3 separate regions of the Mus musculus genome follow, and regions 2 and 3 are each reported to be linked to region 1. Evidence: microRNA targets listed by miRTarBase, many of them from high-throughput screens and not tested one by one. Region 1 holds a microRNA gene; each other region holds the end of a gene's coding sequence.

Region 1 (4,178 bases):
TAGAATTCTGGCCACTGTAAGACTCAGGTTCTCCAAGGTTCCCTAGAAATAGAGAGCCTTGCATTTTTCACCTCCCACCTAAGGCCTTTTTACTAATCCCTGCTCACTAGACATCAGGACCCAGTGGTGGACTATTCAGATCCCAAGGTAGGTGCACTGCAGAGGCACCTGGCAAACTGCTTAAAAGATAAAAAAGACGTGTGGTAAATAGACATGTGGAAGAGGCCCTCCCATTCAATCAGAAGTCCAAGCAATAATGAGAATCCACACCCAGCAGAAAATGAGCCCTGCTGTACCCAAGTCACGGTAGGACAGCAGGACAAAAGGCTTATAAACTCTGTCTAGAAACTCCACCCAGGACTTAAAATAAAAAATGAAAAGTATATGAAGAAACTGTCAAAGACTTGACTTTGAAAAAGCTGGGGAAAGAGATAAAGAACCAGACACCCAATACTGCCCTGGAGGGCGTGGCTCGCAACATGCACGGCAGCCCCAGCACTCAGCAGGGAGGAAAAGAGGACATTCCTTTCCTCGATGCTTTAACAGAATTTCTTTTTAGGAAGGAAGGAAAAAAGAAATTCGAAAAGGTGGCTCTTTGGGAAAAAGAAAGGTTGTGAAATGTAATACCAGAAATGTTTTGCTTACCAGAAACCGTAGCTTGACTCCCCCTGCCTCGAGTTTAAACTGCAGCCTCCTTTCCTAAAGATTCACTTCTCATCCTAGTGCCAACATACAGGAACTAAGCAACTGCAGGTGATGGCACTGAGCACAAAGAGTTTATCCCCAAACTGAGAGGTGAGAATAAGGATGGTTTACAAGAAAGTCCTACCAGTACCCACCCTTTCCCCAGACTGTTACAAAGCAACCAATACCCAGGTAGTGTAAGGACCCTTCCTGAACAGCATGGCACACTGCAGTTCCCTCAGGCCCTGCGTCTTGCCCAAGTCTCTCTAAAGCAGTCGGGGTTGAGCTTTTTTCCACCCCTGTCCACTGAAGCACGGAATAGGTCCAAGCAGTTGTGATGAGTGGAAGGTGAAACCAAGGCAATGGGCTGACTTTTAACACAAAACCTAGAGCTACATACACAAGGACCTGGACAGCCTCCATCCCTAGTGCTCATTAAGCTTTTATCCCTGGAAGATTTATCATATAAGATAAAAGAAACAAGAAAAAAAAAAAAAAAAAAAAAAACCCAAAACGTATTCTCCCCAACAGCAATCTGCAAAGGGAGAGAAGACAGCTGCTTGGGGGCGGAGTCTTCAGAGGAAGCAAGCTGATTACATCACCTTTCACGGTGGCTCCACCCCCTTGACCAAGCGTCTAGGGAAGCCCTAAGCTGACTGGCAAAGGAGAAAAACAAAGGAGAGGGACGCCATTTTGTTATGGAGAAGATTCAAAATTTAAAAGGCCGGGCAGATCTGCCGGTAGCTTTACTTAACACTGTAAGGCACTAAGTTAAAAAAACAAAAACAAAAAACAAACAGAAGCCATCCCTCTGACCACCACCCTCAACTTGACCTATCTTAAATCAGTTTAAGAGCCTATTACTGAAAATAAAATCAATTAATATACAATTTTCTGCGGGATAAGAATCTGAATTTGCAACTAAAATTCAACTTACTACCGCCGACCATCCCAATCCTCCCTACAAAAGCCAAGTGGTAGGACTTGGACCCCTCAACAAATAGGACCGAGGGGGGAGGACAGGAGAAAAATGGGTCAAGACACAACCTGCAACGCCGCTTGCAAGACAAAAGGACAAGCAAGGAAAAGTCGCCATATTTGAAGCAGGGAGGAAAAAAAAAATCTTTTAACGACACAATCTTCTAGAAAGATAGCATTCAAATGCACTAATGGCTTTTAAAATTATACTCCTGAGTTCCACATTTCCCAACCTTTCCACCCTCTTAGCTGTATCCACCACCCACTAAAAAAGTATCAAGTTAAAATGTTAATCACTTTTGCCTTTAAATAACCTATGCAAGCTGAAACAATCACAAGACATTCTTTACCTCCCCAAATGTTATTGTATGTACTTGTTACTATGATTTTTGCCCTAAATTTAAGTGTCTTGCAATCTTTATTCCTAGATTGCCACCTATTTTAACCACACAATATATCCCAAGCAAATTACATTAAAATAGAGAGGATTTAACAGTCACTTTAAAGACATAGCCAGCTAATATTTCTCTGCCCATCTCCTTACCCTGCAATCTTTATGTACAGATTGCTTATTAATCTGGCAAATTGAAAGGCGTTCTGCTTGTCTCACACACAAAGAAGTGGGACTTCTGGGCCACAAGATCCACCATCTTTTGTATGTGAGCTCATTAACCCTTTTGAAGACTGCTAACCAGAGGAAGGTAACCATTCCTCCTTATTATCGCAAAGGCTTATGCTCTGGCAGTCTGGAAATCTGCTGGATTATCAAGGGTTAACCGTCAAAATCCTCACTGGCTGGCCCTCCCTTCACCCTCTCCCTTGCCTGCTCCACAGCAGGGAAGAGGCAGGTGGTAGGGGAGAGAGAACAAAGACTGTTTAGACCCACAGGACCTTTAATGGAGATTTAAGAGACCCGATTGGTCCTTCTCTCCAGTACTCTACATTTGTTCTATGGTCTCATTTCTTCCTCTCATTATTTTTGGTTTCACAACGGGAAACGTTGATTTCTTGTTCAAGGCTGGTTTTTGAAAATTCGACACTTACTATCCAATTTTTTTGCGACGTCAGCACCTCGGGCTCAGGGGGGAGGGGTAAAATTTTGGAGGAAAAAAAATAAAGCAACCAACCAGGACCCAAACTCAGTTACTTGTGGGGCCTCATTGGATCAAAAAGTCTCTTTTAAAAAAAGTAAAGACCAACTCAGTTTTCATTTCCCCCCCGCCCAACTCCATTTAGGGAGAGGGGGTCGTTGAAAAAAAAAGTCTGAGTGGATTCCAAAACGGAAATGCTGGATGAGTGAGATTGGGTAGGTTTGGGCAGGGAAGGTGGTTGATTATTTTTGAAGTTATGTGGTGACGGTCCTTCGGCCACAGATCTCAAGTCCCAAGCAGCGTGGGCTGGTGGGGTGGGCAAGATAGGTGGGGAGGGGCAGAAGACACGAGTGGTTGGGCTGGTGGCTGATTTCCCTTTCCCCCCTCTCAGGATCCTTTCAAGGGTTTAGATGTTGCTGAGGCTTGTTTGTTTTCCTGATGGCCGGCCTGTCTTTCTCCGAGAAAATTCAACCTGGGGTAAAAGGAACACAAAAGGAGGAAGGTGTAATCAGTACGGGTCGCCTTTAAACGTTTCAAAGTTGTCGCAGGACGCAGCCGCATTAGGGAAAAACGTGGCTGCCCATTAAATCCGAAACCACCCCGTTCCCCCGGCCCGCTCTCGGCAAAACGTTACCCTCCAAAGCGACGGAGCACCCAAACTTACCTCTAAACGAACCCCAGAATGGCGGCCGCCCGCTCGGGCGGAGTCTTTTATACCCGGCCACCGCCCAACGCACCCTAACGTGATGGAGAACCGCCCTCGCCGGGACACATTGTGCGCGAGGCGAACTCTGATTGGCCAGCGTGCGAGCCGGGTCGCCCGCGGATTGGACGTCCCTCCTCCACCTTCCCGAAGCCCCCTTCCCTCGGTTCCCCTCTTCCGTCTCCTTGCTATCACCTCTACGCCAGCGCGTGATCGCCGCGTCCGGCACCTCCCTTTCCTCTGCCTCCACCACTTCCGCTCCGGCGACCCGGGGTCGCCCTCGGTTGGCCGAAACGGCCCGACGCATGCGCACTGGGAGCACCCTGGTTAAAATCGCAATCAAATCTGCTTTCATGTTAGACACTAACCATGGAATCTAGGATTCATCGTGACTGGTCCGGGAGAAATGCAATTTTGAAGGCTGGTTCGATTGTGACGCAGTTTAAATTCGCGTCTGTGGACCCCGCCCCTTGACGCTTCCGCCCTTAGACATGTGAGCAGCCGCCTTCCGCATTGCGGGGCGTGTCCTTGGCCCACCCTAGTGCGTGTCCCGAGCATGCGCAGTCGCTCTTCCGGCAGGCCGTACGTCCGGTGTGCGTCAAGATGGCTGCCCCCTTGCGGCACACGCTTCTAAAGCTGGTTCCTACACTCTTACGAAGTTCCTATGTAGCTCAGGTAAAACGTTGGAGGGGTTTTCTCTACCTCCCCGTGGTGTCTATACT
Region 2 (4,178 bases), not on the chromosome of region 1:
TATATATATATATATATATATATATATATATATATATATATAGAGAGAGAGAGAGAGAGAGAGAGAGAGAGAGAGAGAGCCAGAGCCAGAGCCAGAGCCACAGAGAGAGCAATTATTCTGTGCCAGGATGCAAGCACTTGACAATTATTAATTCACTTAAGCCTCCTAATAACCCAGGGAGGCCATTTTATTGCCATCTTCACTTTACAATGAAAAACTGGAGTCAGAGAAGGGCTTAGGTTACATGCTTCAAATGGCACAGCTAGGATATAGCAAGGTTCCCAAGTGCCTGCTGTTTACTGCTAAGCCCTAAAGTGACTTGGGTCTGGGGAGCCTCGGGTTTGTCTCCATGCCTACACTCTTGTGTATTTTGTGTCGTAGATGAATATGAAGGAGATTGGAGCAACTCTTCTTCCTCTACCTCAGGGGCTGGTGACCCCTCATCTGGCAAAGAAAAGAGCTGGCTGTACACCCTAGATCCCATTCTGATCACCATCATCGCCATGAGCTCGCTGGGGGTCCTGCTGGGGGCCACCTGTGCGGGCCTCCTCCTTTACTGCACCTGCTCCTATTCGGGTCTGAGTTCGAGGAGCTGCACCACACTGGAGAACTACAACTTTGAGCTCTACGATGGCCTCAAGCACAAGGTCAAGATCAATCATCAGAAGTGCTGCTCGGAGGCATGACCGATTGTGTCTGGATCGCTTCTGGCGTTTCATTCCAGTGAGAGGGGCTAGCGAAGATTACAGTTTTGTTTTGTTTTGTTTTGTTTTCCCTTTGGAAACTGAATGCCATAATCTGGATCAAAGTGTTCCAGAATACTGAAGGTATGGACAGGACAGACAGGCCAGTCTAGGGAGAAAGGGAGATGCAGCTGTGAAGGGGATCGTTGCCCACCAGGACTGTGGTGGCCAAGTGAATGCAGGAACCGGGCCCGTGTTCTCTGCAGGGACACAGACAGGAGCGCATCTCTTCGGAGTCACAGTTCTGTTTCCTTTGTGGGTTTGTTATGATTATGATTGCTATTGTTATATTTTATTTTATTTTTGTCTGTGAGCAACTCAAAGAGGCAGAAGAGGATGGCTTATCCGGGGCAGAAAGTGGAGAGGTCAGTCCTGTTCTCCACATCTCTTTCTAGTCAACACTTGAAAAGCAAAGGGGCTTTTCAGCCCTTCCATCCTGAGAAATGGAACCTAAGAAACAAAAGCCACCCAGCTTAGCTCACCCTCAGATGGTCTCCCAACTCAAGAGACTTGCTGGGGTGTGTTCGGGTTCTGCCAGCCAACCCTAGGAGCTGCCGTTTCCGGTCCTAGCATATTGAAGTAGGATGTTATTGCCTTTAGCTTTTTTTAATCCAGGGGAAGATTGCCATTTTAGGGTCAGCTTGAACAATTCTTTCTTATATAAGATTTAAAGTAAAACATAACAGAAACTTCATACACCAGAACCCATAGACACACCTCTATGGTTAGACACAGACAAGCCTTAAAATGCTTTGATGACTGGGTGCCATTCCTTAATCTAGACCCAGAGTTTGTGGCTGTGGGATGTCCCTTGTAGGGTCTCAGCTGGTGGCTTTGCCTTTTCTTTTCCCTCCTATTTGTTCTTCTACAGCGTATACATATATTCACATGCACACAGCATGCTCATATGCAGCTCATGTGCACACACACACACACATACTTGGGGGGGGGGGAGGAAGTGGGAGATTTTGCAGTCTCTATTCTTTAGTCTCAGAGCAGAGAGAAAGAATAACAAAGGAAGAGAGAGAAACGCAGCCTGTATTGGGAAGAATGACCAGTGTGGACAGAGACATTTTGTTGAATGAGTCTCCTTGATAGGTTAAGAACATTGATTTCTTGTGGGAGGCTACATCCTTATAGGGATATAAGTGCAAAGACATGCACTTCTACCTACAAGTCAGCAAGTTCTATGGATGGAGAAGCTTACACACAGCTTCAACCTCAGGAGACCTGAGTTCTTATTCATACACATATGTGCCATGTACGTACACACACACACACACACACACACACACACACACACACACACACAGCAGTTCATGTGTTTTTTATTAAGTGCCTTGAAAAACAATGAAGAAAAATGTCCTTTCCTCTAGGTAGAAATCACCACTGTCTCACAAGTTAAGGCTCCTCCTGCTTCTCCTGCCCCAGTGACTCCATTCCCAGCCCCCCTACCCACGGCTGAGCCACAGTGGACTGAGTCTGGCTACCCGGGGAAAAAAATCAGAGCCCTAGATGACTCCAGAAAGGGAGGCATCAGGAAGATAATGAAATTGTGTGAAGGATAAGATTGTCCTCATCAAGATCCAAATCTTGACTTTCTGTTAATGCCTAAAGATTGTCTGTGCCCTAGAAATACAGTCTAAGCCCCACCAGTATGTCCAGACTGTTGCATATCAGTGGTAAACTGTCTGACCGTTTTTTTTGCTGCTGTGATCACCCACAATTTCATTTGTCTTGCACCCAGGCAAAAGGGGGAGGGTGGACGGGACTGGCTGTGGTCCCTTTAAATGTTAACTTATGAAAACCCTAGTTCAGATGGTAATGTCGCAGTGTTTTGTATGAAGAGGGGGAACAGTCATGCCGACATCTATTTATTCCCGCGTGTGTGTGTGTGTGTGTGTGTGTGTGTGTGTGTGTGTGTGTGTGTGTGTGTGTTTGTGTGTGTGTGTGTGTGTGTGTGTGTGTGTGTGTGTGTCGCACCCTTGAGTTCTCTGTATCTACTGTGTATGTGAGTGGTAACGTGGGACTCAGTGCTGGTGTTGTGATTTTTGACCTAGAGCCTGGGTGTTACTGCTGATCTTGGCACTCGTTGGCACAGTGGTAGAGGTGAAAAGTTCATTTGTCTAGCCCAGGGGGGCATAGCGTTAGGAGCCCTCTGAGCTGGGCGTGCAGTAGAAGAAAGTTGGTATTTAGCTCACCCTCTTCTTCACCCTCCCATGCAGCTAGGATTCAGAAAGCTGGGGGTTTCTAAGGAGGAGAGAAGTGCCCACTCCGGGGGTCCTGCCCTCACATGCCCAGTGGACCATTTACCATAATCCACCCCCCCCCAAGACCAGCCCTGTCTAAAGTTATGTGCAACTCAACCTGCATTCCTCTACAAGTCCTGCATCCACTTCACTTTGGCTGATTTGAGGCTCTGGGTGAGTCCTGAGGGCCGAAAAGAAGCAGGGTCCCCGGGGCTACATGTAGATACCTCACCAAGGCTGGAGGCTGGTCTGTTGTAAGATGTAAAGAAAGACAGCTGAGTCTGATTCTAACTTAGCCAGAGGACACCTTGACGAATCTGTTATCTCTATCTGCAGGTAAGCTAGCCAGCCTGTCTCCTTGAATTGTTCCCTTTGGGAAATCTAATTCACAGTATTGATCTCCTTTTTTGCCTTGTACTGAATGACACATTACCTCCACGCTCTCCCGGACTAACTGGTCCACAGGGCCACAGGGTTGCTTGCTCTCTCTTGCAGGAATGGGGAGTCGACAGGGATGAGGGTCCAAGGAATGAGCATGAATGACAAGAAAACAAGGGGAACATTAAGCTTTTCCAGGGTGTGCGGTTAAAGGTATTTGACCATTCACTGGCTGAGCCAGATCACGGGAACTCGAGAGCTTTTACTGTGATTCTTCAATGTAAAAAATAAAACAATGTCAGACTGTGTTTATATGATTTGTATAAAGCCTTTTTAAGATTACTATTTAAATAAACATTATACCAGAACTATTTTTCCTACATTGTCTTTCTTGAGAACAAAGAGAGCCGGGACCTGAGTGACCAGATTGCCCCATGTGCTGGAGACTTTTCTGGGTTTTACCACTCAGAGTTTTGTGTCCTGGAAAATGCTCCAAGTTAGTCATCTTGGACAGCTATAACAGATACCGTATGTCAGGTGACTTAGACTCAACCATTTGATGCTTAGTGCTGGAGACTGAGATCAAGTTCAAGCAACTACTAGCACATTTAGAGTCTTTCTAATTTGTAGACATCTACCTTCCCTTCATGAACCATATGGCTTTTCCTTCCTGAGTTTCTTTGTCTGTTTCTTCTTCCAAGAGTATTAACCTCATCCTTGCAACCTAGTCTAAGCCTAACTACTATCTATGACCCCACAACCTCCTAATACCATCTCAGAGGAAGTTAGATTCTCAATATGTGAATTT
Region 3 (4,178 bases), not on the chromosome of region 1:
AAAATTGATGACCCTGGACAAGAACCTGTGTATTCCCCCAGAAGAAGTTTCTTGAACCTTCAGATATAAACAGTAGTAGTTCCTTTTTGACTTGGATTCATATGCTCTCTGGGTTTTGTTTTCCAGGCAACTTTCCACCGAGCAGGCCGCGCTGCAGGAGTCCCTTGAGAAGGAGTCGAAGGTCAACAAGAGACTGTCCATGGAGAACGAGGAACTTCTGTGGAAACTGCACAACGGAGACCTGTGCAGCCCCAAGAGATCCCCCACCTCCTCGGCCATCCCTTTCCAGTCCCCCAGGAATTCTGGTTCCTTCTCCAGCCCCAGCATCTCACCCAGATGACGGCTTCTGAACGCAGGAGACTCTCTGAAGGCACTGAGGTGCGCTTCTGCGGGACTGACCCGAAGTTCAGAGTTCATGGGAACTCGAGTTGCTGCGTTAGCTCTCTGGAATATCCCCAGGATATCGGGAGAGCAGCCGCCAACCGTTTCAGCTACGTACGAATAGAGAGCTCCAATAGGAGACTTTTAACTTGGTCCAAAAGCCTCCTCCAAAAACAGATTTCGGAACTGAAGTGGACATAGTTGCACAAAGCACTTACGGAACGAGGGAACCTTGTTCTTTGCCTTCCTTCACCTAAGCATAGGGGAAAACTCTCAGGGCCCTATTAAGATAAAGATTTATAACCTTTATAATGTTCTTCACCAGAGACACCTTCTTGTGATTTTTATTTCAGTCTGACTGTGGGCAAGGGGGGTGTGTGTGTGAGTGAAATGGGTGTACTGGCGTGTCACGTGACTGTCATAGCCCCGCCCCCTGCTGTGTATTAAAAGTCAACAGCTGTATATAGCTTGGCCTGTATTAACCAAGTCATAATCGGCACACGAGCGTCAACAAAAGCCATAGAAGAGAAAGCAATAGTGCTTGAATTTCCCCCCAACTCATCTCAGCACTGTGCCACGGCAGGGCTCGGGCAAGACAGGAAAAGCCTTTGGTTTCTTGATGACTGTACATTTATTTCTCTGTTGTTAGTTTTTCCATGTTCGGCATTATCCGTTGATAGCAGTTTTTTTTTCCCCCTGTAGATTTTCACGAGCCTAATTGCTATACTCTGATTCATTTTCTCAGGCTATGAGCAAATGTAGTTCCCTAATTTTTCTAAATACAAATCTGTATAAAGAGTAAGGGGGCAGTACCAATGGATGTTTCTGGTTTATTTTTTTCCCTTGAACCCAAGCTAGCTTCATAGCGCTAATCCTCCGTCTACCCTCCTGTTGTTCTAACCTCCGCCTTGCCTTCTCCTCCATGTAGAGCCACGGAAGCAAAGCGCCCTCCTTCCTACCCACAGAGTGTGCTTTTCCAGGGCCAGTTTATCTTGGAGGTGCTGAACCTGTTTCCCAAATAAGCTAAGCTCTGGTTCTGACACTACACAATTTTAGAAACCCCGGGGGGGAAACCAGTAAAGGCATTTTAGCATGTACTAATCCACATGAGCACAGAGTTAAGCCAACAGTTCTGTGTTGAGTAGATCCAAGAGCGGGAATGCTGACTTGGGCCCCTCTGAGCATTCTTCCAGCCACTGGAATGGAACAGAGTGGCCAAAGAGTGAGAGGTATGGCTTCTGCAGCTCCTTCACACTGCATTCAAAATTCAGATCTTCGCTTACCATCTCCCTAGGCTCCAAGGCTCTGTGAAAGTTAGAAGGATAGCTGTGGCTCCCCACCACCCAACCCACAAACTTCCCTGTGCATGCCGGCATTGCGATGTCAGTATTTACTAATTCATGGTCAATGCTGCTCAGATAACCCCTATAGCGAGGACAGATTCAGGATACTAGAGGTGAGTCATCCTAGACTTCTGCACTACAGAGCTAACTGATAGTCATGATGCATGCTTTTTATTAGGGGTTGTGTTTGAAGTCTCTTATCTCCAATAGTTTATGATGTATGTAACCTACCATGTTTGCTCCCGATAAATAGGAATGATTGCAGCTTCACTGCCACCTCCTGGAATAGCTCTGCTCCTGGTCCCAAGTTGTTCTCAATGATGTTAGCCAAAGTCAGGTTTGTCATTTATGCCCTAGTTATGGTAAAGCTCAAGTGTTGACCTGCCATCCCTCATACCACGTAGATGTCTGGGAAGTCAAATCTTACAGCAATTAAAATGCCTAGAGAGCATTTAAGGGTTTTTTTGTTTTGTTTTTTAAACCAAACATTTTATGTACAATACAAAATTGTTGACACATCGTTTAAAAAAAATGTGGGTGTGTGAACAACTGTAGTTTATAGCAATGGGAAAGTGTATTTTACTTTGATCAAATAAATAATGCTGGAATATTCAATGTAAGAATGGCAGCCTCTGACATACTTACTCTTCAAAGCGTTAAGTTATATGCTCCCCCTTCTCATCCCTCCTTAGTTAAGGCAGCCAGGCGCCCTATGCTATTATACAGAACTTAGAACCCAATGCCAAAATTTGTTGTGGCTGAAATTGGCTCACAGAGCTTGAGTTTAAGATTAAGCTTTTCAAATTCAAAATACATGTGTCAGAGAACGAAACTTTGGCTAGTTTGAATGATTCTTCTGCAAGGCGAAAAGAAAATTGGAACAGCTGTGGTCTTAAGTGTTTTTTCAAGACCGGTCTTAGCCAAAGCTGAATCTTCTTCAGTCCATTCATCTATGTTATATTAAAGGCTAAGGTGTTAATAGTGTACATGCAGTTATTTTTGAATAGAGGGGTTTAAATCAGTACTCTGAGTGTGGCGATTTCAATGTAAAAAGATGTGATTTTGATACCTTTATAAATGAACTTGTGCTAGCTTTGATAAAGTGACATATCTAAGCATTTGAATCTTGAGTCCTTGCTTTTGAGTAAGCCGTTGAACTTGGCTCAAACATCAAACAGAATACTAAGCAACACAAAGATCACTGTCAAGCCCTTCTGGATGTACATGCTAAATGACACAAGTACTTAGCTCACTTTTTTTTTTTTTTATAAAATCTTGCTCATTTAATAGAAACGATTGATACAAAGTTGTTGACATGTTTTCTCAGTATAAAAAGTAGAAACATGGCTGAGTCAAAATACATACTTTAGTTAGGAAAGTTTATACTTCTATTAATAGACTAGTGACTTCCTTTTAATTCGGATGTCTGTCTGACCCACTGGCAGGGGTTGGTCCTTGGCCTCCTATAAAGCACCTGGAAGCTGTGTGTGCAGATGGGCATCCCATTGGTCCACTACTCTTCACTTTCCAAATCAGGAAAACTCAACAGTGGTCGCTACTGTGGTCTGTCCTCGGAGATTCTGAGCTGTGCATATGTAGTAGCCCGCATCAATGGTCTCAAAGTCTTCCACGATAATGACACTCTGGGAGATTCTTGTGGTGTGTCCCAGTCCTCTGTGAATCAGTCTCCAGGTGTCCTGGATGGTCACAGGCCTTTCGTCCTGGTTAAAGATGGCACACAGACTAAAGTCACATTGACAGCTGCTTCCCTCACTCAGTTCCCATCCACCAGGCCCATTCAGTACAAGCTCACAGAAGGCTGGTTGGTATGCTGAGCTCACAAGCGGAGGGTTTTTGTTTTTGATTGCATAATTACTCAAGGCTGCCTTTCCCTTCCTCCACTCCTCCCCCAAGTGGGGTCTTGAATTTCAGGATGCTGTTTTTGTGATTTCTTTTTGCTTTTTTTATATGTAAAATGAATTATTTTGGGCCTCTATGGGGGACCAGCATAAACATATCTATATGAGCAGCATCTTTTCCCATTGTGTCACCCTCACACTGCCAAGTGGTTCTTGTTTATGGAACTTAAGGTCAAAAGCACTGACTCTGTAAGTGAAGAAGAGGCAGGAAAGCAATTAGGCTAATGTTCCTTGAGACTACAGAGGGAGGCCAGTTGTACCAAGGAAGGCTAAGATAATGCCCTAGGCAGCATGAGCATCTATTCTAGAGGACGGTGACTTGTAAGATCTATTTCAGGCAGTTGCAGCAACGAGAACAGTGTTTTCTAAATTCAATTGATAAGGGTGATTATAGTATCACTTAATGCTTTTTCTCCTAATAACAGCAATATAAAGGGTCACTCTATGGAAAAGCAAGAATGTCTAAGTAGAACAATGTATTTAAAACAACCAACCTAACATCTAGATGCTGGAAAGCTCTGCCCTCCTGGGATCC

The links. Region 1 holds the annotated microRNA mmu-miR-1894-3p (GCAAGGGAGAGGGUGAAGGGAG, at 2,464-2,485, opposite strand). A microRNA usually pairs through its seed, bases 2 to 8, with sites in the 3' UTR of a target mRNA and lowers its output. Matches are read on the target gene's strand: a 7mer-m8 pairs with bases 2 to 8, a 7mer-A1 pairs with bases 2 to 7 and ends in A, and an 8mer does both.
Region 2: miRTarBase lists Nrp2 as a target of mmu-miR-1894-3p. Seed matches in the 3' UTR shown: 7mer-m8 at 1,551-1,557 and 7mer-A1 at 2,726-2,732.
Region 3: the mRNA of Mtus1 is a reported target of mmu-miR-1894-3p. Seed matches in the 3' UTR shown: 8mer at 1,221-1,228.

The regions. Positions count from the first base shown.
Region 1 is chr17:35,916,245-35,920,422 of GRCm38, reverse strand. Mir1894 (microRNA 1894) reads right to left here and starts at 2,534; the gene lies at 2,454-2,534. It overlaps Mrps18b (mitochondrial ribosomal protein S18B), which reads left to right and starts at 3,983. Exons shown (of 7, transcript NM_025878.2): 1 at 3,983-4,131. The coding sequence starts at 4,060. It overlaps Ppp1r10 (protein phosphatase 1, regulatory subunit 10), which reads right to left and starts at 3,227. Exons shown (of 19, transcript NM_001163818.1): 1 at 2,707-3,227.
Region 2 is chr1:62,814,952-62,819,129 of GRCm38, forward strand. It overlaps Nrp2 (neuropilin 2), which reads left to right. Exons shown (of 17, transcript NM_001077404.1): 17 at 382-3,741. The coding sequence ends at 686. Among named protein-coding and RNA genes, the nearest start is that of Gm35120, 20 kb to the right of the region's middle.
Region 3 is chr8:40,989,582-40,993,759 of GRCm38, reverse strand. It overlaps Mtus1 (mitochondrial tumor suppressor 1), which reads left to right. Exons shown (of 14, transcript NM_001005863.2): 14 at 127-2,848. The coding sequence ends at 340. It overlaps Pdgfrl (platelet-derived growth factor receptor-like), which reads right to left. Exons shown (of 6, transcript NM_026840.3): 6 at 2,978-3,445. The coding sequence ends at 3,257. Among named protein-coding and RNA genes, the nearest start is that of B430010I23Rik, 26 kb to the left of the region's middle.